Linked DNA regions of Macaca fascicularis. The protein of the gene in region 7 interacts with the protein of the main gene of each other region in a pairwise test. Links are inferred from orthologs where the notes say so. Each region holds a gene or a part of one and is shown on either strand. Other genes may lie near its edges. The genes, in order: CLU, NEFM, PDE4DIPP2, AKAP9, SPTBN1, PPM1E and TNIK.

Region 1 (3,500 bases), on a different chromosome or scaffold from region 7:
GGCCAGGCCCTGCCCATGGCTGTAACAGTCACACAGCAAGTGACCAACAGCCCAGCGGGACCAGCCCCCAGCACCCCAACTGTCAGGTCCATGCCCTTTCCTTTTACCTCCCTCCATGGGGGACAGTTTTGAGACACCTGGGAGGCCATAAGAGTCACAAGGCCCAACATTTCAGGTTCATCCACGGTCATCTTTGGCCACCAATGATATCCACCCCCTGCTCAGCTAAGGGCCAACTGATGTGACTTCAGGGACTGGAGCAATTCACTGAGTCCCAATCAAAAAAGCCCTGCAGCAGAGGACAGGAGCAATACTAATACACTAAAAAAATCTTACATTGGCTGGGCACAGTGGCACACATCTGTAATCCCAACAATTTGGGAGGCTGAGGTCGGAGGATTATTGAGCTTAGGAGTTTGAGACCAGCCGGGGCAACTTGGCCAAACCCCATGTTTACAACAAAAATACAAAACTTAGCTGGGTATGGTGGTGTGTGCCTCTGGTCCCAGCTACTTAGGAGGCTGAGGTGGGAGGATCACCTGAACCCAGGAGGTCAAAGCTGCAGTGAAACATGATCACACCACTGCACCCCAGCCTGGGTGACAGAGTGAGACCCTGTCTCAAAAAAAAAAAAAAAAATTCTTAAATCCTTCCACATAAGTGGACACAGGGCTCTGCCATCCCACAAAGCGGTTATGTCATCCAGCTAAGCACTGCTGCATGAGTTTTCTAAGAGAAGGTAGATACCTGGCCTACATCCTTTTGATGACTCCACTCTCACTACTCATGCCAGACATCACCAATGGAGCATGGCACTCTGGGACCCAATGCAGCCAGCCAATACTAATCAATTGCATCTGGCATGTGGAATGAAGCATATTTCACTAGGCTCCCGTCCTTCCCCACTCAGCCTTGGCCACTGATGTGTCCCTTTTCACCTGGCGGCCAACCAGGCCCGAGCCACTTCTGCAGACGCGTGCGTAGAACTTCATGCAGGTCTGTTTCAGGCAGGGCTTACACTCTTCCCAGAGGGCCATCATGGTCTCATTGCACACTCCTGGGAACTCCTTCAGCTTTGTCTCTGATTCCCTGGTCTCATTTAGGGCATCCTACAGGAAGACACGAGGCTGGCTGAGCCACACAGAGACCACAGGCTCACACACTCAAGGAGGTGCTGGGTGCCAGGCCCTCTGCCCAGGGCAGGCCTTCCCACAGGATGGCCACCCAGCATGCAAGTGTGCACCCCTGCTCCAGTTCAGGCTTCCCTTCATTCACCCACCTGGAATCCCCTTCCCACTGGCTTGAAGAATCCACTCACCCTTTAAGATCCAACTGTTCCCTAACTCCTAGAAGCTTCCCAGCTCCTGGAACCCATGTGGACAGCACCTCTCTCTGATTTAGTGCGCTGATCATCTACTCAGTGACTACCCTCTCACTGAAGCCTCATTTTCTATTCTCTGCTTCTGGTATTTAAATTTCATCTTCCAAAGCAGGCTGCAGACTCCCTGAATCTTATCTTTCTATTGCAACCATGCCCCCTGGCATGCAAAGGGAATGGCAGGCTTTCAACACCAAAGCCACACCAGCTGTCAAAATTCTCTAATGGGTCCTTGCCATTTGACCCAATAATTCTCTAAGAATCTATCTCAGGCCAGGTGCAGCGGCTCACACCTGTAATCCCAGCACTTTGGGAGGCCAAGGCGGGCATATTACTTGAGGTCAGAAGTTCGAGACCAGCCTGGCCAACATGGTGAAACCCCGTCTCTACTAAAAATACAAAAATTAGCTGGTGTGGTGGTGCGCACCTGCACTCCCAGCTACTTGGGATGCTGAGGCAGGAGAATCGCTTGAACCCACAAGGCGGAGGTTGCAGTGAACCGAGATCAAACCACTACACTCCAGCCTGGGTGACAGAGCGAGACTCTGTCTCAAAAAACAAAACAAAACAAAACAAAGACTCTATCTCAAAGGAATCCCCTGACAAAGAAAAAGATGCTTAAAAATATTCGGTACAGTATTAACTTATGGCAAAAAAAATAAAATCAGAATCAACCCAGATGCTTAAAAGAGACAGGTTAAACAAACTGTGGTTCCTACAAAGAGTAAATGGTACATCATTACAAAGGATGTTTATAGTCCATTTTGAATATTATCATATGTACTGTTTATGTGAAAAATTCATAATTTTGTGCATAGCCACTGTCAAAAAAGCACAGAGGAAAAGAATAGGAAGAAATAGATCAAATGTTAACAGTGACTTGTCCTTGGGCAAAAGGATTATGGAAAAACTTTTCCTCTTCTACTTTTCTATATTAAAGTCTCTATAAATAAGTGTGTTAGTCTTCAAAAAAAAATTAGCCTATCCACACCCCAGAGTTACGTGAGGTCTTTGTCCTGCTCCATCATCCCCTGTTCCCTGCTGGGCAAAGACAGCCCACCTCCCTCTGAGCCAAGACACAAGTGCCACCCATGCTGCCTACTTCCTTTCCTTCTGGCTCACCTACTCCTCAACTAAGAAGTAGCTCTTAGTTGTAGCTCTTTGAGACACGCTCTTTTCTCCAAATGTGATGTGCTTTATTATAAAACCAGAATTGTTGAAGGTCAAACTCCAGTGATAACCACAAAAGTGTGAGCATGAGACATGCTCCTTCCCCAGGAGCTATTTGAGGATTCTCACAGAATGGTGAGAACTGGCCTGTTAATCCCAGCACTGTGGGAGGCCAAGGCAGGCAGACCAAGAGGCCAAAGTTAAGAGTTCGAGACCAGCCTGGCCAATATGGTGAAACCCCACCTCTACTAAAAATACAAAAAATTAGCTGGGTGTGGTGGCGCGTGCCTGTAATCCCAGCTACTCAGGAGGCTGAGGCGGGGAATCACTTGAACCCTGGAGGTGGAGGTTGCAGTGAGCTGAGATTGTGCCATTGCACTCCAGCCTGGGCAACAGAGCAAGACTCCATCTCAAAAAAAAAAAAAAAAAAAGAACGCTGAGAACTGATACTGAGGCCAAGAAAGGGCATGAAGCTTGAAAAAAAGGTAGAGCTGCATCCAGGCCAGCATTCCCTGAAGTGGCTTCCATGGAGCTGTGCTCAAAGCAGCCAGAAAAAAAAAAAAAATGAATTCCCTGGTCAATTTGGAAAACTCTGGGTTTCATGGAGTTACACAGGTTTCTTTACTGCACAACATCTCAGAGCCTTTGAAATGCTTTTAACATGCATGATGGATCATGAAGCTGGCAGGTAGCTACATCTTAGCATCTGAAGTAGGGCGACCGTGAGAGGAGGTTTGTAGGATACTCTTAAGGAGACTTGATTTCTTAAATAAGTTGTTCATTGAATTATAGTGTTTTAGTTTTGTCGAATCATTAAGCACAGGCTAGACCTGCTATATCCACTACTGGGCTTAAGATGTTTCTTCATGAAGTAGTCCAGAACTCTAGGAAGACGTGGGGTGCAGTGTGCCTGCCTTAACCCTAACCGTATCAACCCGACTAGATAAGCTTC
Region 2 (2,924 bases), on a different chromosome or scaffold from region 7:
CCCCTCCTTCATTTGTCCTCTTACCTAGAGGTTCTCTGAGTTCTGTTTTGGGATAGAAACACTGAAGATTTCTATCCCACCGGATTCCTATTTGTATCTGATGCTTTTATTTTTGTTTCAAAAATGTGATTTTAAAATTATGGGATGAAGACCGGGCTCAGTGAAGATGTAGACACCTGAAAATATCTTCAGCAATTACATTTTCCAAGTAATCGCTCTCAGGGAAATAGCAATAAGAAGTGCAGTTTACTTATGATTTCCCCCCAAAAATCTATTTTAGGGCAAGAAAGCTTCAGGTAGTGGAGATCTCACTTTGAAATGGCATAACAGGCTGGGCATGGTGGCTCATGCCTATAATCCTAGCACTTTGGGTGGCTGAGGCAGGAGGACTGCTTGAGGCCAAGAGTTCAAGACCAACTTGGCCAACATAGCAAGACCCCATCTCTAAATAAAAATAAATAAAAATTAAAAAAGAAATGACATAAGACTCAGCAATTGACTATGTTTCCAATATGACCTTTATTGAGCAAGTACTGCTGTGACGTTTAACATCAATCAACATAAGATTGCAAACTGTGCATGTCAACGAGGTTCTCCCATGAGCAAAAGTCCATTTTAAACGCACCAGTGAGGTAAACATAATTATTCATATATAGCTTTCTTAAGGCTAAGAGAGTTCTGTGTTTCATTTATTGTTTTTGGCTCAGTTGGTACTTTGCATAATACATCTCAAGACATCCCCCCTTAAGTGACCCCCTTCCAACAGCTTAGGAAATTGGCAAATTTCCCAGGTACATACAATATCATGCATTTGAATCCCCCAAAGACTGAGGAGGGAGCACCCTGAGCTTGCATGCAGTCCCCTCATATTGCACAAAGTAAATACAATGTCTGGAGCCCCCATGGGAGAACCCGTTCTGTTTTGAAGCTGCCAATCACATGCATTTTGAAATTGTCATATGGCTTAACCTTTTGCAGTGGACTCAAATCTTAGTCACTCTGGGTGACTTCCTTTACTATGGCGTGTGAAGTGACTTTTTCTACCTTTTTAGTAGACACTAGTTTCTCCTCAAAGGTCTCTTCATGCTCTTCAACCTTTTGAGTGACGGTTACAGATTTAGTGATATATTTGGTAGCACCATCTCCCCCCTCACTGGTGATTTTTTCTACTGTTTTGGTCACTACCACTTTCTCCTCACTTTTATCTCCCCCCTTCTTTTCATCTGCCGGGCTCAAGTCTAGGCCATTGGTGACAACGCCTTTCTCCTCTTCCCTCCCACTGCCTTTTTCCTTGGTCTCCTGCTCTACCTCCTCTTTTCCTTCTACCTCCCCATTGACAGCTATGTCTTCCTTCCTGGATCCCTTGGCACCTTTATCACTCCCTTCTTCCTCACTCCCTCCCTCTCCTCCCACTTTCTCCTTCTCTTTCTCCTGCTGCAGTGGCTTCCCCTCTTCTTTGATCTCTTTCTCCAAGTGCACCTTTACGGATTTGGTGATGGTGACCACCTCCTCCACAGCTTCCTCCTTTACCGGGGACTCAGCTTTCTTCTTCTCTGGCACATCCTTTGGTTTCTCTTCCTTTTTCTCTACCTTCTCTTCCTTGGGAGCTTCCTTGACTTCCTTCTCTTCTTCCTCTTTCTGTTCACCTTTCCCCACTTCTGCTTTTGACTTTGCCTCTTCCACTGGTGATTTTGTCACAGGAGACTTGGCTTTCTCTTCCACTGGTGATTTTGTCACAGGAGACTTGGCTTTCTCTTCCACTGGTGATTTTGTCACAGGAGACTTGGCTTTCTCTTCCACTGGTGATTTTGTCACAGGAGATTTGGCTTTCTCTTCCACTGGTGATTTTGTCACAGGAGACTTGGCTTTCTCTTCCACTGGTGATTTTGGCACAGGAGACTTGGCTTTTTCTGGCTTTTCCACCTTGACATCTGCCACCAGCTCCTCCTTGGTAGCCACTTCGTCACGCTTTTCCTCCACTTTCTTTTCCTCTTTAGCTTCGACTTCCTCTGCTTCACCTTCAGCCTCTGTTTCTCCTTCTTCCTGCTCACCTTCCTCTTTTTCACTAGAGCCTTCCTTCTCGGATCCTCCCTCTTCGGCTTGGTCTGACTTAGCTCCCTCATCTTCTTCTTCCTCTTCTTCTTCCTGGCCTTCCTCTTCCTCCTTTTCCCCCTCTTCCTCTTCTTTAACTTCAGGTGCAGTTGGTTTCACTGGAGACCTTTTGGCAGCTACTTCTTCTTCTTCAGCTTCTGGCTCCTCTCCCTTTTCTTCTGCTGCTTCTTCCTTCTCTTCCTTCATGGAAACGGCCAATTCCTCTGTAATGGCTGTCAGGGCCTCTTCCATTTCTGACTTCTCATCCTCCACTTTGGTTTCCTCTATGATCTCCTCAACAAATTTGTGTTGGACCTTGAGCTTGGGAGCTTCCACCTTGGTTTTCTGAATCTTACTGGATATTGTGACTGAGGGCTGTCGGTGTGTGTACAGTGGCCCAGTGATGCTTCCTGCAAATGTGCTAAATCTCGTCTCTTCACCCTCCAGGAGTTTTCTAAGGAGAAAATCAAAGAACATAAGACATAGTAAAAATTTCTCTGGGCCTTCTGAGTTTCATTACATTCTGGGTATTGTAGTAGCTACCTTTGAAGAAATAGAATTACATAAGTAAAATATTCTATCAATTTGTTATAATACCTGCTATCACTTACTTGCATATTACGTCATACTCAGTGACAGAGAAAGGTTCTCCTGGACTGCCCCCTACAATGACTAACCTTGCCCAATAGTCCACTAACCACACCCAGCTACTAAGTCTTGGCCCTGCAGTAGAGATCCATTAGGTCCAACAAGAATATGCTGAAAAACTTGTTAGTGGCCAAATAGGAAAAAACAAAAACGAAAACAAAAACACAAAAAGCCACAAACAAAAG
Region 3 (3,931 bases), on a different chromosome or scaffold from region 7:
GTGAGCCCGGGAGGCGAAGGTTGCAGTGAGCCGAGATCGCGCCACTGCACTCAAAAAAAAAAATGGCCGGAGGTACCTGCATCCCACCTAGTCAGGGCTCTAGCTTCCCTCCTCTTTGTGTGCAATCCAAGTTTTAGACCCAAGGGTGGAGGACCTACCACTGTACAGTGCTGAGTAAGACAGGGTTCTCACCGAAGTCAGCGAAGTTCCCAGTCCTTTCTGGCGCGAGCTGCATTCCCAGACACTCCAGCTCTTGCCGAAAGGAGCTCCGTCTTTTGCGCTAGTGTTTGTCTACCCTCCCCTGCCCTAAAATAATGAATGCCCTCTACCTGAGGGAGAGACTTCAGTGGCGGTAATCTACTCGCGGCTGGCTGCATCCTTGAAAAAGCACATTTCCCTTCTACTATCTTCAAGATCTTGGTTAACCAGATTCACATTGTATTTGCAGGACGCTTTCTCAGGTGACTGCTCAGTGCTCTTTTTTACCGAAAGTAGGGCAAAGTCCCCCAAGGGTGCTAACCCTCCCCCACCCACATCAAGGAAGAAACAGTCCTCTACTCTTTTCTGGACATTCCGGTTCAGAGTCGAGGTAAGGGTTGCATGGCCCCGCCCCACCCGCCCCTCCGTTACCAAGCCTTCCCCCGCCCGCCTCGCAGTCTCAGGGCCTTAGAACCCAGGCGGGGCGAGGCCGGGAGAGGTGGGGCTGCTGGCTGGAGGCGGCGGCGGCGCGCAGCGGTACCTAGCGGCGCTGCCCGGCTGGCAGCCGGAGGACGTGGCACTGTCCGAGGATCCAGGGGGAGGGGATTCGGCCTTCTCCTCCCCGCGAGGAGGAGCCTCGGGACATCCTGCAGAGGCGGGAGGATCCTTGAGGGCACTGGTGCGCCTTTCAGGTGAGCTCTTAGCAGATAAAAGCGGCTGGCTGTGGTCCGCGCCAGTAGTGCTTTCTGCTCTGCACTCCCAGTGAGCCAGGTGCGCAACCGGAGTGGGGGCGAGGGGCGTGCTGGCCACCCCGCATGCGCAGAGCCGGGAGCCCGCTGACCGGACTACAGCTCCCAGAGGAGCCTTGTGGAAGCCGCAGACGTGGAGCCGCTGGCGCCATCTTGAAATCTGATCCTCAATCCCCGAGCCTTTGAGTCTGCGCGGCGGGCCGCTGCTGCTCCGGGAGCCCAGTCTGTTAAAAGGGTAGGACGTTGAGGACGCGGCGGCTGGCGGGAGAGACAGCTGGGGAGAGACATGGCAGGGTCGGAGCGCGGCCTGCGCCTCTGTCACTCAGCATCCTCTTAGACGTTTCCACGCCCGCCCCCTGCCCAAGGGGCGGGGCTGACGGCTGTGGTACCCGGAGCCGGCGCACGGGGTAGGGGTGCACCCCTGCAGAGTGAGGACCCCACTGGGCTGTGCCATGCTGACTGGAGACCACTGAGGCGGGAGACAGAGCGCGGCGAAGAGCCATTGAGTGGTCATCCAGTAGCCGCCGCCGCCGCCGCCTCAGGAAGCTTGGCACCCGCTAGGAGGGAAGATGAAGGAGATTTGCAGGATCTGTGCCCGAGAGCTGTGTGGAAACCAGCGGCGCTGGATCTTCCACACAGCGTCCAAGCTGAACCTCCAGGTTCTGCTTTCGCACGTCCTGGGCAAGGATGTCCCCCGCGATGGCAAAGCCGAGTTCGCTTGCAGCAAGTGTGCTTTCATGCTTGATCGAATCTATCGATTCGACACGGTTATTGCCCGGATCGAAGCTCTTTCTATTGAGCGCTTGCAAAAGCTGCTACTGGAGAAAGATCGCCTCAAGTTCTGCATTGCCAGTATGTATCGGAAGAATAACGATGACTCTGGCCCGGAGGTCAAGGCGGGGAATGGGACGGTTGACATGTCTGTCTTACCTGATGCGAGATACTCTGCACTGCTCCAGGAGGACTTCGCCTATTCAGGGTTTGAGTGCTGGGTGGAGAATGAGGATCAGATCCAGGAGCCACACAGTTGCCATGGTTCGGAAGGCCCTGGAAACCGACCCAGGAGATGCCGTGGTTGTGCAGCTTTGCGGGTTGCTGATTCTGACTATGAAGCCATTTGTAAGGTACCTCGAAAGGTGGCCAGAAGTATCTCCTGTGGCCCTTCTAGCAGGTGGTCGACCAGCATTTGCACTGAAGAACCAGCGTTGTCTGAGGTTGGGCCACCCGACTTAGCAAGCACAAAGGTACCCCCAGATGGAGAAAGCATGGAGGAAGAGACGCCGGGTTCCTCTGTGGAATCTTTGGATGCAAGCGTCCACGCTAGCCCTCCACAACAGAAAGATGAGGAGACTGAGAGAAGTGCAAAGGAACTTGGAAAGTGTGACTGTTGTTCAGATGATCAGGCTCCGCCGCATGGGTGTAATCACAAGCTGGAGTTAGCTCTTAGCATGATTAAAGGTCTTGATTATAAGCCCATCCAGAGCCCCCGAGGGAGCAGGCTTCCGATTCCAGTGAAATCCAGCCCACCTGGAGCCAAGCCTGGCCATAGCATGACAGATGGAGTTAGTTCCGGGTTCCTTAACAGGTCTTTGAAACCCCTTTACAAGACACCTGTGAGTTACCCCTTGGAGCTTTCAGACCTGCAGGAGCTGTGGGATGATCTCTGTGAAGATTATTTGCCGCTCCGGGTCCAGGTATACAAAACGGCTACACAGTGCCTTTCTGATTATAGCTAGCTGGCCTCTGGCTTCACATGATTTCGGTCTAGGTGGAGGTTAGTAATATTCTAGACTTGAGAAAATTAGTCATGAGCCCATTTTTGCTGCACCTTTTCTGTGTCTCATTTAGTAAACGTGATTCGTACTCAGATAATTTGCTTTTCACAGTCTTTGTAAAATCTGTTGGCCTTCCCATTATCAAAATTGTATACCTTTTAAAACAAAAAGGTAAAGATTCCCACTTCACTTTTATCCTGTAAAAAGAAGACATTTAATCTCATTTCTGGCACTAGAACTTTTCCTCTTATCTCCTTTTCTTTCTTTTTTTTTTTTTTTTTTTTTTAACAACTTTTAAAATTTGTTCTTGTTTTCAGATTTATAGACGTTTCCTCCCAATGGCTTTCTGTAAGGCAGTTAGTTCTCTAGTTAGTTCTTCCCAGAGCATTGAAGCTTTCATCCGCAAAATGCCTGTAAATGATTAGAGCATAAGGTAAAAGGTTTGGGGGAAACCTATTAATCCACCAGTAAAGTATTATAACATCTGGACAATATTTATTATAATGAATAGTTCATTTGAGGATTAGTGATGACTCATTCATAAAAGAGACAGGAATTCAAGTATTCAAGTACAGTATTGTCACTCAAAACGTTAAGGCATAAACTGTTCACAGCCAGAACTCTGCTGAGTTCTACTGGAAGATATTTGATATTAAGAAAGGATTAACCCATTATTGGATCAGAGGAGAGTTTCATTCATTATAGTCTTGAATTCTTAATGACTAGAGGATGGCAGTTGCTTAATTTGAACCATTCATGTCTGCCCAATTGATTCTATACCAACCTTTTAAATTCAGCTATGGTAGTTTGTTTCTATAGCAACAGTAAATGCTAGGTTCAGTTAACTTTGTGAAACATACTGGCATGTTCCACTTGATACAACTTATTTAGCGATACTGTCACAAAGGTAGATGTGATCTAGAAGGCATTTTTAGAAAGCCTGCTACTGGTCAACATCATTCCAGAAATTTAGAGCTTGATAAGTAACATTGTTGATGGTCACATGAAACTTTTGGAAAGTAGTTCTGTGGTATGTATACTTTCTTTCACCATAAGAACCTAAGCAGAAAACAGGAGAAAAGTTTTTAAATTTACACAAAATTATGAGTAGCAGCATAGATGAGAAACAGCAGAGATGAAAGTGTCATGAAAGGTAAAAAGTCAGTGCGTTTTCATTTGTATAAAATGTATGTACTTCTTTTCTTTTGC
Region 4 (3,500 bases), on a different chromosome or scaffold from region 7:
ACAGAGTATGATGCTCTTACATATAACATTCTTTTGGTCTATTAGGGACGAAACCAGGGAAAGTGGAACCACGAGCCCAGGATGCTGTCACTGTGACCATTAATAGAGGTTAATCTGGTCCCAGTCCTGGGCATGCCTTTCCACAAACCTCTGTGACCTGCATTCATGACAAAGACTGAATAAAGAGACCTAGAGACAAAACCTGAATACCATCTATTTTTTTTTTTTTTTTGAGATGGAGTCTCACTCTGTCACCCAGGCTGGAGTGCAGTGGCGCAATCTCGGCTCACTGCAAGCTCTGCCTCCCAGGTTCATGTCATTCTCCTGCCTCAGCCTCCTGAGTAGCTGGGACTACAGGCGCCCACCACCACACCCGGCTAATTTTTTTTGTTTTTGTATTTTTGGTAGAGACGGGTTTCACCATGTTAGCCAGGATAGTTTTAATCTCCTGACCTCGTGATCCGCGCATCTTGGCCTCCCAAAGTGCTGGGATTACAGGCGTGAGCCACCGTGCCTGGGCCTAAATTTCTTTAGTCTATTTATTTAAGGTCAGTGAGAGATGAAAGAAGGCAAAAACATAGAACAAACTGTGATGTTTAGATGGGAGATGTCTCCTACCTTTAAAGTGACATGTTCAGAATCAGGGCTTAGAGTTTGAAGTAAAGAGTCATTTCTTAGTTCAGCTTTCAGTTTGTATACTTCAGCCTCTGCCCTTTTCAAAGATTTCTGGAGAGTCAATTTTTCTCTGTTCCATACCTCTTTTTCAGAGGCAATGATGGCTTCAATGTTGGCACCACCATTCAATGAAAACCTGGAAGACTGCAAAGACCACAGACTACTTACATGATTTTTAAGAACAAGTCTCTGAAGAAAAGTCTGAGCTAAACATATTAAAGATAGCTCAATGATGGTGCAGTCTCAACTTTCTGACCCCACCTAGACAAAGTTCAAAGCCAATCTTAATTGACATTATGCATATACACTAACTCTAAGTACATGGTCCTTTGCTAAATACATTAGTTTTACAACTAAAAGTCCTTGAGAAAGCCTGGCCACAGGGAAGGTTTAGCAGATTAGCAGAGCTTTGAACTAAAAACATCAAGAGACCTAACAGACCATTTGGGTCCAAATTTTGAGCCTGTGCCTGAAATAGTGTATTGGAGAAGTGGGAAAAAAACAAGCCAGTATGTACATAATAAGTGGATTTCTATAAAAGGCACATAAATGTGTTATCATGTATTTAACCATACAGTTGTCTTACAGGTCTTTTCTATCTTTATATTGGGTGATTATGGAAACTAGCAATTAATTTTATACCTGTTTTTAAATGGAAAAATTTTAAGTAAATTCTCAGCGTAATTTATCAGACTGAAAGACATAATTTAACAGCACCTTCTATTTGAGTCATGAACACAATGACTGATAAGTGACCGAAGAGAACAGTCAGGATTCACATTTGAACATTTTGTGTATCTGTTGTTGGTGCCTAGGTAGCAAAGTATCTGGCTTTGGAGATACATGTATCTTGGTTTGACTACGACTTCAGTTCAGTTTTCTCAGGTATAAGGTGGATGCGGATTAGACATTCTTTATGTATACAACTCAGAGTCGAGTACAGAGATGGTTTCCAATAAATAACAGTAATTATTAGTAACTTAGTAGTAATAGTAATATTATTATTGTCATCCCTATAAAATTTTCTACAGATCCTACTAAGAATCAGGTACGTGATAGTTTTACATTAACAGGATTAAAACTTGAACTAGATAGCAGAAATGACAAGCACGCACGAATTCTCATATATGGAGATGCTAAAAATGGACATACATTATCTCTACCAGCTCCTGTCTGTCGATACCACCTGATCTGCTCTTCCAGCTTCATAACCATGTTCCTTAAGTCATTCTTCTCTTCAGTCAGTTGACTGATATGCCCTGTCAGCTCAGCATTTTGTCTCAGTAGTCTTTCAGTCAAGGAGCCACAAGAAGTACTTGGGGACACCAAGCTGGGCTGGAAAAATAAAATGGTGTAAGGTCACTTAAGCACAAATGGATGTGAATAATGCATATAAAGGGTGAATAGGCACCGAGAGCAACAAAGTTCATGAATTGGTGCTTGAGTTGAGTCTTCAGTAATAGGTAGATATTTACCAGGCAGAAAAGATAAGGGCACATTAAGCAAAAGGCGCACAGGCTTGAGCGAGTGTGTATTCCTTTCGGGGTGTTATAGGTTGCCTGTTAAGTCTAGATTGCTTTACTTTATGAATAACAGACCTAAATGTAGGCAATGGAGAGTCATGAAAGGCTTGATGCAAAAATACGACACAAAATTTATGTGTTGGAAAAATTCCTTTGGTAGTAATGTACAAAGCAGGGGAAATTAGGGAAGATATCTTCGTGTCAGGTAGACCTATCAGCAAGTTGTTTCAACAGCCAGGTAAGAAATGCTGAAAGCCTGAATGGAGGCAATGCCTAAGGGACAGAAAGTAAAGGGTGTGCGGGAGAGGTATTTAGAAGATAAGAGGGACAGGACTTAGTGACTATCTAGACGTGCAGGGAAGGGTGAAGGAAAGTGGTCTATGGTGACTTCCAGCTTTCTAAACTGGGCGGTATCATGACTAGAAATGAGGGTCTGGAGCAGGAAGGAGAAAGGGAAGACGGAGTTCAGTTTGGAATGTGCCTGTGAGGTTCCTATAGGGTCACTATGGGGTACATTTCCCTAAGGAAAAATGTCTAGTAACTAACTGAAAATATAAGCCTGGGCCGGGCGCGGTGGCTCACGGCTGTAATCCCAGCACTTTAGGAGGCCGAGGCGGGCGGATTATGAGGTCAGGAGATCGAGACCATCCTGGCTAACACAGTGAAACCCCATCTCTACTAAAGAATACAAAAAATTAGCCGGGCCTACTGGCGAGTGCCTATAGTCCCAGCTATTCGGGAGGCTGAGGCAGGAGAATGGAGTGAACCCAGGAAGCAGAGGTTGCAGTGAGTTGAGATTGCGCCACTGCACTCCAGCCTGGGTGACAGAGTAAGACTCCATCTCAAAAAACAAAACAAAAAAGAAAATATAAGCCTGGAACACAGGACAGAGGTTTAGACTAGAACCACAGTCCACTAAAGATAAGCTCCATAAGGATGAGGTTTTAGTCAGATTTGTTCACTGTATCTCCAGAACCTATCTGGCACTTATCTGGCACACAGTAAGTGTTCAATATAAGTATTTGTTTAATAATAAGTCTAGTGAGAGCTCAGGGTGTTGGACTGTGTGAGCTTTCATAGTTATAGGTTACAGAAAAGAAGGAAGAGGGTAGGAAGAGGAACCATAAAGGTAACTGATGAAAGAAGCAGAAGAAATGTTAGAATACTGACATGACACGCAAGGAAAGAGAAGGTCTTAAGAAAATAAAAGAGATCAAAAGTATCAAATGCTACAAAGAAGTCAAGAAAAAGACTGAAAAGATTCACCAGATTAGTCAATTGTTTAGACACTGGTAGGCGTCT
Region 5 (3,500 bases), on a different chromosome or scaffold from region 7:
TCCTTTTGTGGACACCTGTACATGTCTCACCAGAACCACATTCTCAGGCAGTCATGCACGGCTCACTAATTTTCTGTTTGGGTAGATGAAATTCTGCTGGGCACCTATATTCCGCCCACTGGGAAATTTATGCCCACACTCCCAAGGGCTTCTGGCCAATGATTCAGAAGTTTGAGAGCCCCAACGTGCAAGTCTCCCTTAAGAACCTCAGAAAACTGTACCTGTCGTCAATAGAGTCCACCTTCTCCTGGATGCGATCTGAGTTGATGTTCCCATCGCTCACCAGCCTCCGGCCAGTCTCCACCACAGCGTTGATCTTCTCCTCATTGGCGTCCATGGTGGTCATGAAGTCCTCTTGCTTTTTAATTGCTGCTTCAGCTCCTTCCAAGGTGGTAGGCATTTCAGTGTGAGCCAGAACATACTCCTTATTTAAAAAGAGAAACAAGTCATAAAGGATCAATGAAGGATCTCATTTTCCTGTGTTCTACATTTCCATGCAACATACTTCACAACACTTTCTTCATTACACTTACATGAAATAATTAAATCACATCAAATTAAAAATTAGGAGGTAAAAAAACCCAGTGGGACACTGTAACTCACTGAATTTCCTCAGGGTTTAAATGCTCTAAATTTTTTTTCCAAAGTGACTGAGGAAAGGAACCAAAGCTTTGTGCATCAGCCTCAAGGGTTCTCTCACGTGCCCGTCAAGGCAACAGTAATGTACCCTTCATACCCTCTCTTTGAGACAATAGCAGCCCTGAAGTTGGTGACTATCCTCAGCTGTTTTTATTTCTCTAATCGCTGCCTTGTGTCCTCAGGTGAAGTCCCTGACCCTTTTAGAGCAATAAGACAGATTGGTCTCAAGAAAAAAAAAACCTTCACTGTACTTTTTTTTTTTTTTTTTTTAAAGAGACAGGGTCTCATCCTGCTACCCAGGCTGCAGTGCAGTGGCACAATCACAGCTCACTTCAGCCTTGACCTCCTGGGCTCAAGTGATTCTCCTGCCCCTGCCTCCCCAAAAGCTGGGATTACAGGAGTGAGTCATCATGCCTGGCCCTCACTGTATCTTTTAAATGGGATCAATACCTCAATTATGAGGACATACTATGTCCTAAATGGCAGTTGAAATCAAATAGTACTTTGTAAGGCAAAGCAGCTCCTATGGCAATCTTCAATTCCTGTCCCCTACAATGTGATGGATTTCAGTGCCTCAAGAGTATTGGGAAAAACATCTGTCTCTAAATTATCCATATAATTCCATACAGGTGTGGGTTAAATCAGCTGCCCCAGCCAAAACATTTCAAAAGGCAGCCAGGGCTGCTTTCATGGAAAGGAAGCAAAGGCAGGAACAAATCTTACCTGGTTGTTAAGAAAGGCTTCCGCTTGCTTCGTGTCTCTGAGGAACTGCTGGTAGGCATGTGACTGGGAAAGGAGATTTTGTCTGTTCTCCCACATCTTGTGCAGCTCATTCCATCCAGTGTCCAGGGCCTGTAGTCGCTGCCGCAGAAACATGTACTGGGCATCGGTCTGCCCCTGGGTGACCATCTCGCCCATGTCCCTCATCTTCTGGTAGTCCTCCTCATAGTTGTCAATCTCGTTCTTGATGTTCTCATGCTGTGTGAGCAGCTTCTCGGCCTCGGTCAGGGTGTTTGGCATGTCCTCCGAGGCGATTGCTGTCTGGGTCCTAGAGAGCCAGGACTGGAAGTCGTCCAAGTCCCGTAGGAACTGCTGCAGCTTGCTGGCCTCTCCCAGGGAGGCCTCTCGGTTTTTCAGGGTGGTCTTCATCTCCTCCCACACGTCGCTGATCTCGGCCAGCCGAGACAGGATGGCCTGGGCCTGGTCAGGGTGCTCGGACTCCAGCTTCTCTGCCTCCTTCTGCAGGTCACTCAGCTTTGCCTCAATGGCCACCAAGTCCCGCTCCATGCCAGTCAGCTTGCGCTGCAGGGCCATGACGCCAGCCAGGTCATTGCCCAGGTCCTGGGTGGACTCGATGACCTTGGTCTTTTCCCGAATCCAGGATTTGGTTTCGTTGCACTCGAGGTGGTAGTTCTGGATGCTCAGGGCAGACAGGAGGGCATCCTTCTTCCTGTCAACCAGTTCTCTGAACTGGCTCCACCTGTAAGTGCAGGGGCAGAGAGCGAGTGTGAAAAAGGGAAGACCGACCATGGCTGGATTGCAAAAGGAACAGTAATGGGGTTAATGCTGCTTATCTGTTTTCTCCATCTTTGCTTTGAGTACATGCTTTTTGGAAAATTATCTCACTCAGACTACGAACACCATATATAATGGAAATGGCTCAGGGATGCAATGTAATCTGGAAAAAGCCTGTCACAAACAGGAATGTGTTACAGAGCTCCAATGTGAGCAATTACAACACATCCATTCCCAGAGTCAATTAATTCATGTCTGCAACACACATTTTACACATCTCTGAACTCCACCTAATGAATGTTTTCCAAATCTAAGACTCTAAGACTGATGGTAACCTTCAAAACTAGGGCCAGATGCCACAACCTACTCAAACATGTTTACTCAACAAAAAGATAAGACCAGAACAAAGGTCTGCCCTGACAATCAGGACTTTTCCATTGGCAAATTAAGTGTTGAACATGCTAGAGTCCTGTTCCTAAAGTTACTTTAAAATGGATAGCACAGGTGTCATCTTAATACCTTCTACACTGGACACCGGTCACACCAAGGCCCTAACTTTGGTGTGCAGAGGGGCAGGTGCTGGGCTGGCTCAGATCATCCTCCTGCAACCAACGATGTTGCCCTGAGAGACACTTCTTACAAAACAAGGACATGTCAAAACGCAGGTGCCAATGCCACGACATCGTGTTGCAATGTCAATGACCCCATGTGGGAAATTCCCAACAGCAAGGCTCAGTGAGTGACCTCACCCTCCCCAGCCCCACACGTGGGAGGCTGGAAGGCTGCTGGCTGCGTGCTCACCTCGTGTTGAGTTTGTCCTGCTGGGCTTTGATTTCCTTCTCACTTGGGTTGCCACTGTGCATCAGCTGGCGTGCAATCTGGTTCACCACTGCGACCCGGGAAGCCTGGTTGTTCATTTCTGGTTCTAGGCTCTCAAATCTGAAACGGCAATTTGACAGGGTGGTCACCTCCTGGGCCACTAGTGGTCACAAGGAACAGGCCAGTGACTGGCAGTGCCCCGCTCACCTGTGCTGGATGACCTCCAGATCCTCCAGCTTCTCTGGGATCTGCATGTTGTTGAGCCACTGCTCCTTTTCGTCGATCCAGAGCTCACAGGCGTCGGCCTCACTGAACATCTTGTACAGGGCCAGGGTGTCCTGGAGTGCCTGCTTCCGCAGCCGCGTCAGCTCTGCCACCTCCTTATATCGCTCCTCGATGCCCGACAGCCTGCCCCTCACGTCTGGAGACTCGGCATGCTCCTGGGGGAGGGCGCTGGCTTGCTCGTGCAGCGTGTCAAGGGTGGGCCTATAATTGGCAATCTCTTCCGCCACGTCCTTGTGTTTCTT
Region 6 (3,500 bases), on a different chromosome or scaffold from region 7:
AGATTCATGAAATATAATTTCAGCTACTTTCCTATCTCAGAGACCAAGATTTTAAAAAGAAAATCACATGAAATAAACTGCATCAGTCTTAAATCTTCCTTTTGTGTTTGTGTTGCTTTAGCAACATAGTAATGTGAGAACTTAATACACCATTTGATTATACTATAGAAATAGTTTGGGTTTTTTGGTTTGGTTTACAAAACAGCTTCATTGAGATGTAATTTAAAAAATTTTTTTTTTTTTTTTTTTTTTTTTAAGAGACAGTCTCACTATGTCTGTCACCCAGGCTGGTCTCAAACTCCTGGTCTCAAGGAAAGTGACACAAAAGACTACCTTGCCTCCATGGAAGGGAACTGAGTACCTGGGAGGCAAGGATAAGAGAGACATTTTTATTTTCCCAGTTTTGAACCATGTGAACGCATTACCTATTCAAAAGAACATAAAATAGTTCCTTTTCTGTTGCAAATTTGTGCCACTTTGCATTTAGCGCTACTCTAATCTACCAAAGATACAATTAGAAATATATCAGAAGTTTTCCTTTTCTAACAGGACCATGAAGGTGTTTGTTTTGTCTTTAAAATCTCACTGACTCTCCGGAAGTGCCCTTTACCTCTAGGTTGAAGAGCATATTAAAGTCAGGAATGCAGACATGTTTGTCCTCCATTTTCCTGCGCATGTTTTTGATGGCATGGATTGATGTCTCATAATAAAGCTGGGGTCTCCTGCGGAGGGGGAAGTCTTTCACCCAGCTGCAGCAAATCTCGTGTAGTTTGCTGAAGACAGAACGGGCCAATTTCACTGTCTCAATCTCTGTGAAAGAAACACAGAAACCCCCAATGAAGAGCCTTGTAAAACTGCTTTTCACTTCTCTGCTTGGTAAAGACAGAAGTAGGTCACCTTAGTCAAGTTCCTCCTTAATAGAAGAAATTCATCCTTCTCAAGAAAAATGAAATGCTGCTTCTGAAGAGAGAAAATCACAACCTATCTAGTAGAAAATCATCAGCCTGCAGCTGCCACTAAATATTCTTATGTCATGAGGAGAAAACCTTTGGCCAGGGCTGGACCTATTCCTGGCTTGATTTCTTCCAGCTGGAGAAGTGCTCTCACCACACTGCTCCCTAGTTCCCAGCGCCGGTTCCTTTTTGGTTGTTTGCTATGGTTATCACCAGGAGAGCCAAGCCTCCTATGCTTAGAAAAATAAGCAGTGATTAACACTACTTCCATAGTCCAATTAGCTGGATAAATACTGTGTTTATTGGAATATGGAAGGCCTATGAAAACAGCCCACTAACTACAGAAATAAGAAGGGTGTATGTTGCTTACCATTTGTCTTTGTCCTCTTTCTCCCTGACTTCTTCCTTTACATCCAATTCCTTTTTCTCCTATAAATGATCATTTGTAACTGAATTGTGTGTATATATATATATATATATATTTTAAATTATTACTATTATTATTATTATTATTTTTTGAGACAGAGTCTTGCTCTTGTTGCCCAGGATGGAGTGCAATGGCGCTCTCTCTCAGCTCACTGCAACCTCCGCCTCCCAGGTTCAAGTTATTCTCCTGCCTCAGCCTCCCAAGTAGCTGGGATTACAGGTGCCTGCCATCACGCCCGGCTAATTTTTTGTATTTTTAGTAGAGTCGGGGTTTCACCATGTTGGCCAGGCTGGTCTTGAACTCCTGACCTCAGGTGATCCACCCACCTTGGCCTCCCAAAGTGCTGGGATTACAGGCATGAGCCACCACACCCGGCCTGTTTTTTCTGTTTGATATATTTGTTTATTAAAGTTTTAGGCCATAGTTTAAATAGTTTAGCCAATAGGTTAGCAAATGAGCTAAAACTTTTATACGACTCTAAGGAAAATGTACTTAAACTCTGTCTATGCGTGTGATCCTAGATAGAAAAAGACAGAGAGCAGCCAGAGGAGCAATACTAACAGGTCTCTTGACCCTAAGCCTACCGCTTCACCTGTGTTTACCGCTTCACCTATTGGGTAGAATTGGCAAGCTGACTTCTGAGGTAGACATGTACCCTCAGTAGATGGACAGATGTGTAAGCCTTTTAAGCAACACTGAATGATACTGAAGAGATTGTATTTCCTATCACTGAACCCTCCACTCAAGTTGTCCTCCACTTAAGTTGAGCTACGGAAATAACCAAAGAGAGATTAGGTTTTCTCAGGCCAGTATTTTAGAAGTTCCTCTTACATCTCAGGTGAAAAAAAAAAAATCGAACTTAAATTTTCTTTTTACTGAACTAAATCAGATACAGCTTGACAGCCTGAGAAAATAAGTGCCAGATGGCAATGGCTACACATGCCTCCTCCAATCTAGAATACAAATCCCAAAGAAGAGAGAGACTATATGTTCTACAACAGCCTGGGACCTGGACTACCAATTTCATTCTCAGTACTGTCTTTGCCTTAATCTGTGACTACATTTACCTCTTTTCTTATTCAAAATTATTTTTTAAATGACTGTATTAAAAAAGCTGACCTCAAGTTTTTGTCCTTTTTTTCCTCATTAACATAGCACAGGGTAGTAAATCCTGTCTTGTGGTTTTGTCTCTTTTATTTTTATTTTTTATTTTTTCTGAGACAGAGTCTTGCTCTGTGGTCCAGGCTAGAGAGCAGTGGCGCAATCTCGGCTCACTGCAATCTCCACTTCCTGGGCTCAAGCTATTCTCCTGCCTCAGCCTCTTGAGTAGCTGGGATTACAGGCCCCCACCAACACGCCTGGCTAATTTTTTAATTTTTTTTTTTTTTGGACAGAGTCTCCCTCCATCACCCAGGCTGCAATGCAGTGGCGGGATCTTGGCTCACTGTAGGCTCTGCCTCCCGGGTTCACGCCATTCTCCTGCCTCAGCCTCCCAAGTAGCTGGGACTACAGGTGCCCGCCACCACGCCCGGCTAATATTTTGCATTTTTAGTAGAGACAGGTTTTCACCATGTTGGCTAGGATGGTCTCCAACTGGCTGGCCTTGAACTCCTGACCTCGTGATCCACCTGCCTCAGCCTCCCAAAGTGCTAGGATTACAGGTGTGAGCCACTGCGCCTGGCCAATTTTTTTTTTTTTTTGAGACAGAGTTTCACTCTTGTCACCTAGGCTGGAGTGCAATGGCACATTCTCAGCTCCCTGCAACCTCCGCCTCTCAGGTTCAAGCGATTCTCCTGCCTCAGCCTCCCAAGTAACTGGGATTACAGGCGCCCGCCACCACACTCAGCTAATTTTGTTGTATTTTTAGTAGAGATGGGGTTTCACCATATTGGCCAGGCTAGTCTTGAACTCCTGATCTCAGGTGATCCAACCACCTCAGCCTCCCAAAGTGCTGGGATTACATGAGTCACCATGCCCGGCCTTTTTTTTTTTTTTTTTTTTTGAGACGGAGTCTCGCTTTGTCGCCCAGGCTGGAGTGCAGTGGCCGGATCTCAGCTCACTGCAAGCTCCGCCTCCTGGGTTTATGCCATTCTCCTGCCTCAGCCTCCCAAGTAGCTGGG
Region 7 (3,500 bases):
ATCTCCTATATTGACCACATGATCAATATGAAAGGCTGACACAATTGGCAATAAACTAAGTAAGGAAGCCTCCACAGCAGCACTTTATCCTGAACACAGAGTCAACCCAAGGGACTTTCTCTTGGGAAGGAGAGCTTTGAGCTCTTCTACTCTGGCCTGGCGATGCAAGCGAATTGGTGTTGGCTCCAAAAGCTTTAAAATCATTAATTCAGGGATGATTTTATGCTGGAATTGAAGATATTTCATTCCCATGATAGTTTCCTTAAAATAATAATTACATTTACATCATTATTTAGGGACTTTATGAGTATATTAGGTTTGTGAGCAATGTACCTTGAAGGCTTACTTTAAAAAAGGAATCTTGGGCTTGAATGGCACCATGAAAACATGATGTCAGAAGTAAACGAGGGAACAGTAAACTCAATATCAGGGTTTCATGTCACAATATTCTAAATCTGAGTTTTGCTGAATAAGCTACAATGTCAGTCATGTCCATTCCTTCTTGTCCTTTCACATCACAAACACATCTGTATTCAACATAATAAGCACATCTTTTTTGGATAAATATCTTTAACTAAAGGTTGTTTCACTTTAGTTTTACTTTTAGAGTTTTATTTAAAAATAAAACCACCATCCAAGACCTCTAAACATGTAAGGAGAAAACCACAAAGATCTAATCTGATTTAATTCAAGATTTTTCTCTCCATCCTATGAAACCAAAACCATTTCATCCTCCTCAAGGTAGAATTCCCCCTACCAAATAGATCACTTTCACATACATGTTCACTTTTGATCTTTAGAAGATGTCTGTGAAAGAGGTAGGGCAGGCAGTAACATTTCCACATAGAGCTGGGGTAGCAGCAGAATTTGAACTAGGGTTCAATCTTATGGGGTCCTCCTTTGCACCAAGAGAGGTGTTCAGGCAGAAAATGCCCACACAGCATGAAGTTACAATAAGATGCTGTGCTTTGCAATATACCACTGTGTTCTTTTCCTTGGGGTATGCAAAGCTCATCTACACTATAACTTTATAATTCAAAGGGTGCATCATAAAAACTTAGTGTGTGGACAATGTCAAAAATAACAGTACATGTGCTTTATAAACACATTTAGGACCTTACGTGTGATTGACAAGACTATTAATGAAACATGACCACACACTGTGAACTCATCCAACTGGTGTCAGTCATCAGCGTCTATGGGCACTACCTGCAGATTGTGTTTATTCAGACTTTTTCCTGGGACTGTTTCTATACAGGAAAGGTAATACCTAGTTTCTTCATTCTCACACAATTTTGAATTTATGAAGATGAACACTTTAAGAACTTATCTATTTATTAAATTTTATTTTTCATAAACAAATCATTTAAACTGTTTTATTTAAGTCATACTTAGTTTGACTAAATTAATGCAAATATAAACCTCAACTGTTGTCCTTGAAATCTGTATAGCCTGAAGTTTCCAGTTCTGGTCTTAGATCTGTCACAAACCAGCCGTGTGTCTTGGACAAGTCACTCAACCCTCTATGAACCTAGTATACTCATCTGGAGAAACAAGTATTGGTTCAGATGATATCTGAGAACTTTTCACTGTTCTGCTTCCATGATTTCTCCATTTGAGTACCTGCACAGGCAGCTCTATAGTAGAAACCAACCAAACAAGTTTCAAGGAGCTTGGTGAAGCCTCATTCTTGAAGAGATCATGGTTTTAGAACCCCAGGAAGGAGAGCAGAACTGTCATGCCAGCTGTTGCCCAGCACCTACTTCAGTCCCAGAGTCCATCTCCTGGGAATGGGTTGAGACGCGCCCCAGTCCCTCAGTTGGGGTTCCAGCTGGAGAATGGCTCTGCTGCACCAGGTCAGGGAGGTTGATGTGGCCAGCAAAGCCATTGCTGTCACTGTGGCCAGATCGCTTCTCTCCAGACGTCTGAGGGAGCACAGCATGTGAGAGGAGTTAGAGAGGGGGGGAAAAAGGCCAAAGAGTGACATCAGCCCTTACACGGCATAGGCATATGGGGCTCCAAATAGACCCGCTAGGGTGCAAGAAGGTGATATTCAAATTTCTATTTTACTTAAGAAAACAAAAAAGAAAGTAAGCTTTGCCAATATTTGGTTTATCAATTGAGCCTGAAGCCTTACGTTCCTGCATGAGGTATAGACAGTGGTCACATATGGCATGGGGTCCCATGTAAAGGGGGAGACGCTACAAAAGGGAGGGACTGAGCAGGGCCCACACTTGTAAACTCTTTTGTAGTGCTTGTGCTGTATGTACCTGCCACTTAATTATATTTACAGATCATATTACCAGGTTATAATGAAACAAACCCACACAACAGAGAAATGACCTAAAATGTTGCTGAAAAGAAGCAGTGTGTGTGGAGTACTCCAAGAAAGTGCAGAGACCATACTTAACTCACGGGGCTCTTTGTCATTCACAAGGTCAAAACAATGATTAACTAATCAGATCTGACAGGAGTTCCAAATATATTGACATGATCTAGAATACTATTTGAAAATATGGATTTACAACTACTATCTACATAAATGTTTAATGTCTCAATAAAGAACTATGGTGCTTTGTGATGTAGGCAGTAACAAAATAAAGTCATCATAACTAGCAAAGCATTTGAAACATCACTTCTAGTAACCCTTTTTAATGTCCTTTAAAGTTTTTTTTTTTTTTGAGATGGAGTCTCGCTCTGTCACCGAGGCCGGAGTGCAGTGGCATGATCTCGGCTCACTGCAACCTCTGCATCCCAGGTTCAAGCAGTTCTCCTGCCTCAGCCTCCTGAGTAGCTGGGATTACAGGCACGTGCCACCACGCCTGGCTAATTTTTGTATTTTTAGTAGAGATGGGGTTTCACCATGTTGGTCAGGCTGGTATTGAACTCCTGACCTTGTGATCTGCCCGCCTTGGCCTCCCAAAGTGCTGGGATTACAGGTGTGAACCACCTTGCCTGGCCAAAGGTATTTTATAATGTACATAATGTTAGTGCAGTAGAAAAAAATGTATGATTTGTGAATAAATACACTGTATTAGGTGAGATGCTCTATAGTTTTACTGATAGGATTACATGACCTAACAAGTTTGGAAGCCATTGCTCTGGAGAGCAGTCTCTGCCAAAAAATCCCAGGGAGGAAAGGCAGGATTAAAAGACAACTCTGGTTTCCAAAAGCCAGTGCCCACATTGTAGGCCTGACTAGTGTTGCACTTTTTAACTTTTCTGCAACTGGCTCACTGAGGATTCTTAGAGCAGATCTGATTAAGTAATGATTTCCCTCTCTGTCTTTTCTTTCATTCATTCATTGACCCAAAAGTTTTTAGTTCCTACTAAATGTAAAGCATTCTACTGAACATGGAACAGCTGGGAACAAAGCAAGCACATTCCCTACCCTCTTGGGGGCTGGCATGTGCAAGGTTTCATGCTGTTTCTTTGACCATCTCACCAGTCTGGCTTTTTATTTCTGGAGCTTGTCATGGATTTACAATTACAGCTCTGCA

What was found.
Region 1: the proteins of TNIK (region 7) and CLU interact in a two-hybrid assay, tested with the Homo sapiens proteins (2 studies listed by BioGRID and IntAct). The link is inferred for Macaca fascicularis from reciprocal best matches to the Homo sapiens genes TNIK and CLU.
Region 2: the proteins of TNIK (region 7) and NEFM interact in a two-hybrid assay, tested with the Homo sapiens proteins (2 studies listed by BioGRID and IntAct). The link is inferred for Macaca fascicularis from reciprocal best matches to the Homo sapiens genes TNIK and NEFM.
Region 3: the proteins of TNIK (region 7) and PDE4DIPP2 interact in a two-hybrid assay, tested with the Homo sapiens proteins (2 studies listed by BioGRID and IntAct). The link is inferred for Macaca fascicularis from reciprocal best matches to the Homo sapiens genes TNIK and PDE4DIP.
Region 4: the proteins of TNIK (region 7) and AKAP9 interact in a two-hybrid assay, tested with the Homo sapiens proteins (2 studies listed by BioGRID and IntAct). The link is inferred for Macaca fascicularis from reciprocal best matches to the Homo sapiens genes TNIK and AKAP9.
Region 5: the proteins of TNIK (region 7) and SPTBN1 interact in a two-hybrid assay, tested with the Homo sapiens proteins (2 studies listed by BioGRID and IntAct). The link is inferred for Macaca fascicularis from reciprocal best matches to the Homo sapiens genes TNIK and SPTBN1.
Region 6: the proteins of TNIK (region 7) and PPM1E interact in a two-hybrid assay, tested with the Homo sapiens proteins (2 studies listed by BioGRID and IntAct). The link is inferred for Macaca fascicularis from reciprocal best matches to the Homo sapiens genes TNIK and PPM1E.

Annotation. Positions count from the first base shown.
Region 1 is NC_088382.1:30,779,526-30,783,025, forward strand, and holds part of CLU (clusterin), read right to left. Parts: intron 1,110-3,500; coding exon 939-1,109; intron 1-938.
Region 2 is NC_088382.1:28,099,771-28,102,694, reverse strand, and holds the end of NEFM (neurofilament medium polypeptide), read right to left. Parts: intron 2,546-2,924; coding exon 991-2,545; 3' UTR 501-990; downstream 1-500. UniProt on the Homo sapiens protein: Neurofilaments usually contain three intermediate filament proteins: NEFL, NEFM, and NEFH which are involved in the maintenance of neuronal caliber.
Region 3 is NC_088375.1:114,058,758-114,062,688, reverse strand, and holds the start of PDE4DIPP2 (myomegalin), read left to right. Parts: upstream 1-1,131; 5' UTR 1,132-1,516; coding exon 1,517-2,641; intron 2,642-3,931. UniProt on the Homo sapiens protein: Functions as an anchor sequestering components of the cAMP-dependent pathway to Golgi and/or centrosomes.
Region 4 is NC_088377.1:129,252,132-129,255,631, forward strand, and holds part of AKAP9 (A-kinase anchor protein 9), read right to left. Parts: intron 2,011-3,500; coding exon 1,828-2,010; intron 820-1,827; coding exon 619-819; intron 1-618. UniProt on the Homo sapiens protein: Scaffolding protein that assembles several protein kinases and phosphatases on the centrosome and Golgi apparatus. Required to maintain the integrity of the Golgi apparatus. Required for microtubule nucleation at the cis-side of the Golgi apparatus.
Region 5 is NC_088387.1:67,215,302-67,218,801, forward strand, and holds part of SPTBN1 (spectrin beta chain, non-erythrocytic 1), read right to left. Parts: coding exon 3,181-3,500; intron 3,094-3,180; coding exon 2,956-3,093; intron 2,120-2,955; coding exon 1,363-2,119; intron 425-1,362; coding exon 222-424; intron 1-221. UniProt on the Homo sapiens protein: Fodrin, which seems to be involved in secretion, interacts with calmodulin in a calcium-dependent manner and is thus candidate for the calcium-dependent movement of the cytoskeleton at the membrane.
Region 6 is NC_088390.1:47,741,612-47,745,111, forward strand, and holds part of PPM1E (protein phosphatase 1E), read right to left. Parts: intron 811-3,500; coding exon 611-810; intron 1-610. UniProt on the Homo sapiens protein: Protein phosphatase that inactivates multifunctional CaM kinases such as CAMK4 and CAMK2. Dephosphorylates and inactivates PAK. May play a role in the inhibition of actin fiber stress breakdown and in morphological changes driven by TNK2/CDC42.
Region 7 is NC_088376.1:82,551,649-82,555,148, forward strand, and holds part of TNIK (TRAF2 and NCK-interacting protein kinase), read right to left. Parts: intron 1,926-3,500; coding exon 1,764-1,925; intron 1-1,763. UniProt on the Homo sapiens protein: Serine/threonine kinase that acts as an essential activator of the Wnt signaling pathway. Recruited to promoters of Wnt target genes and required to activate their expression. May act by phosphorylating TCF4/TCF7L2.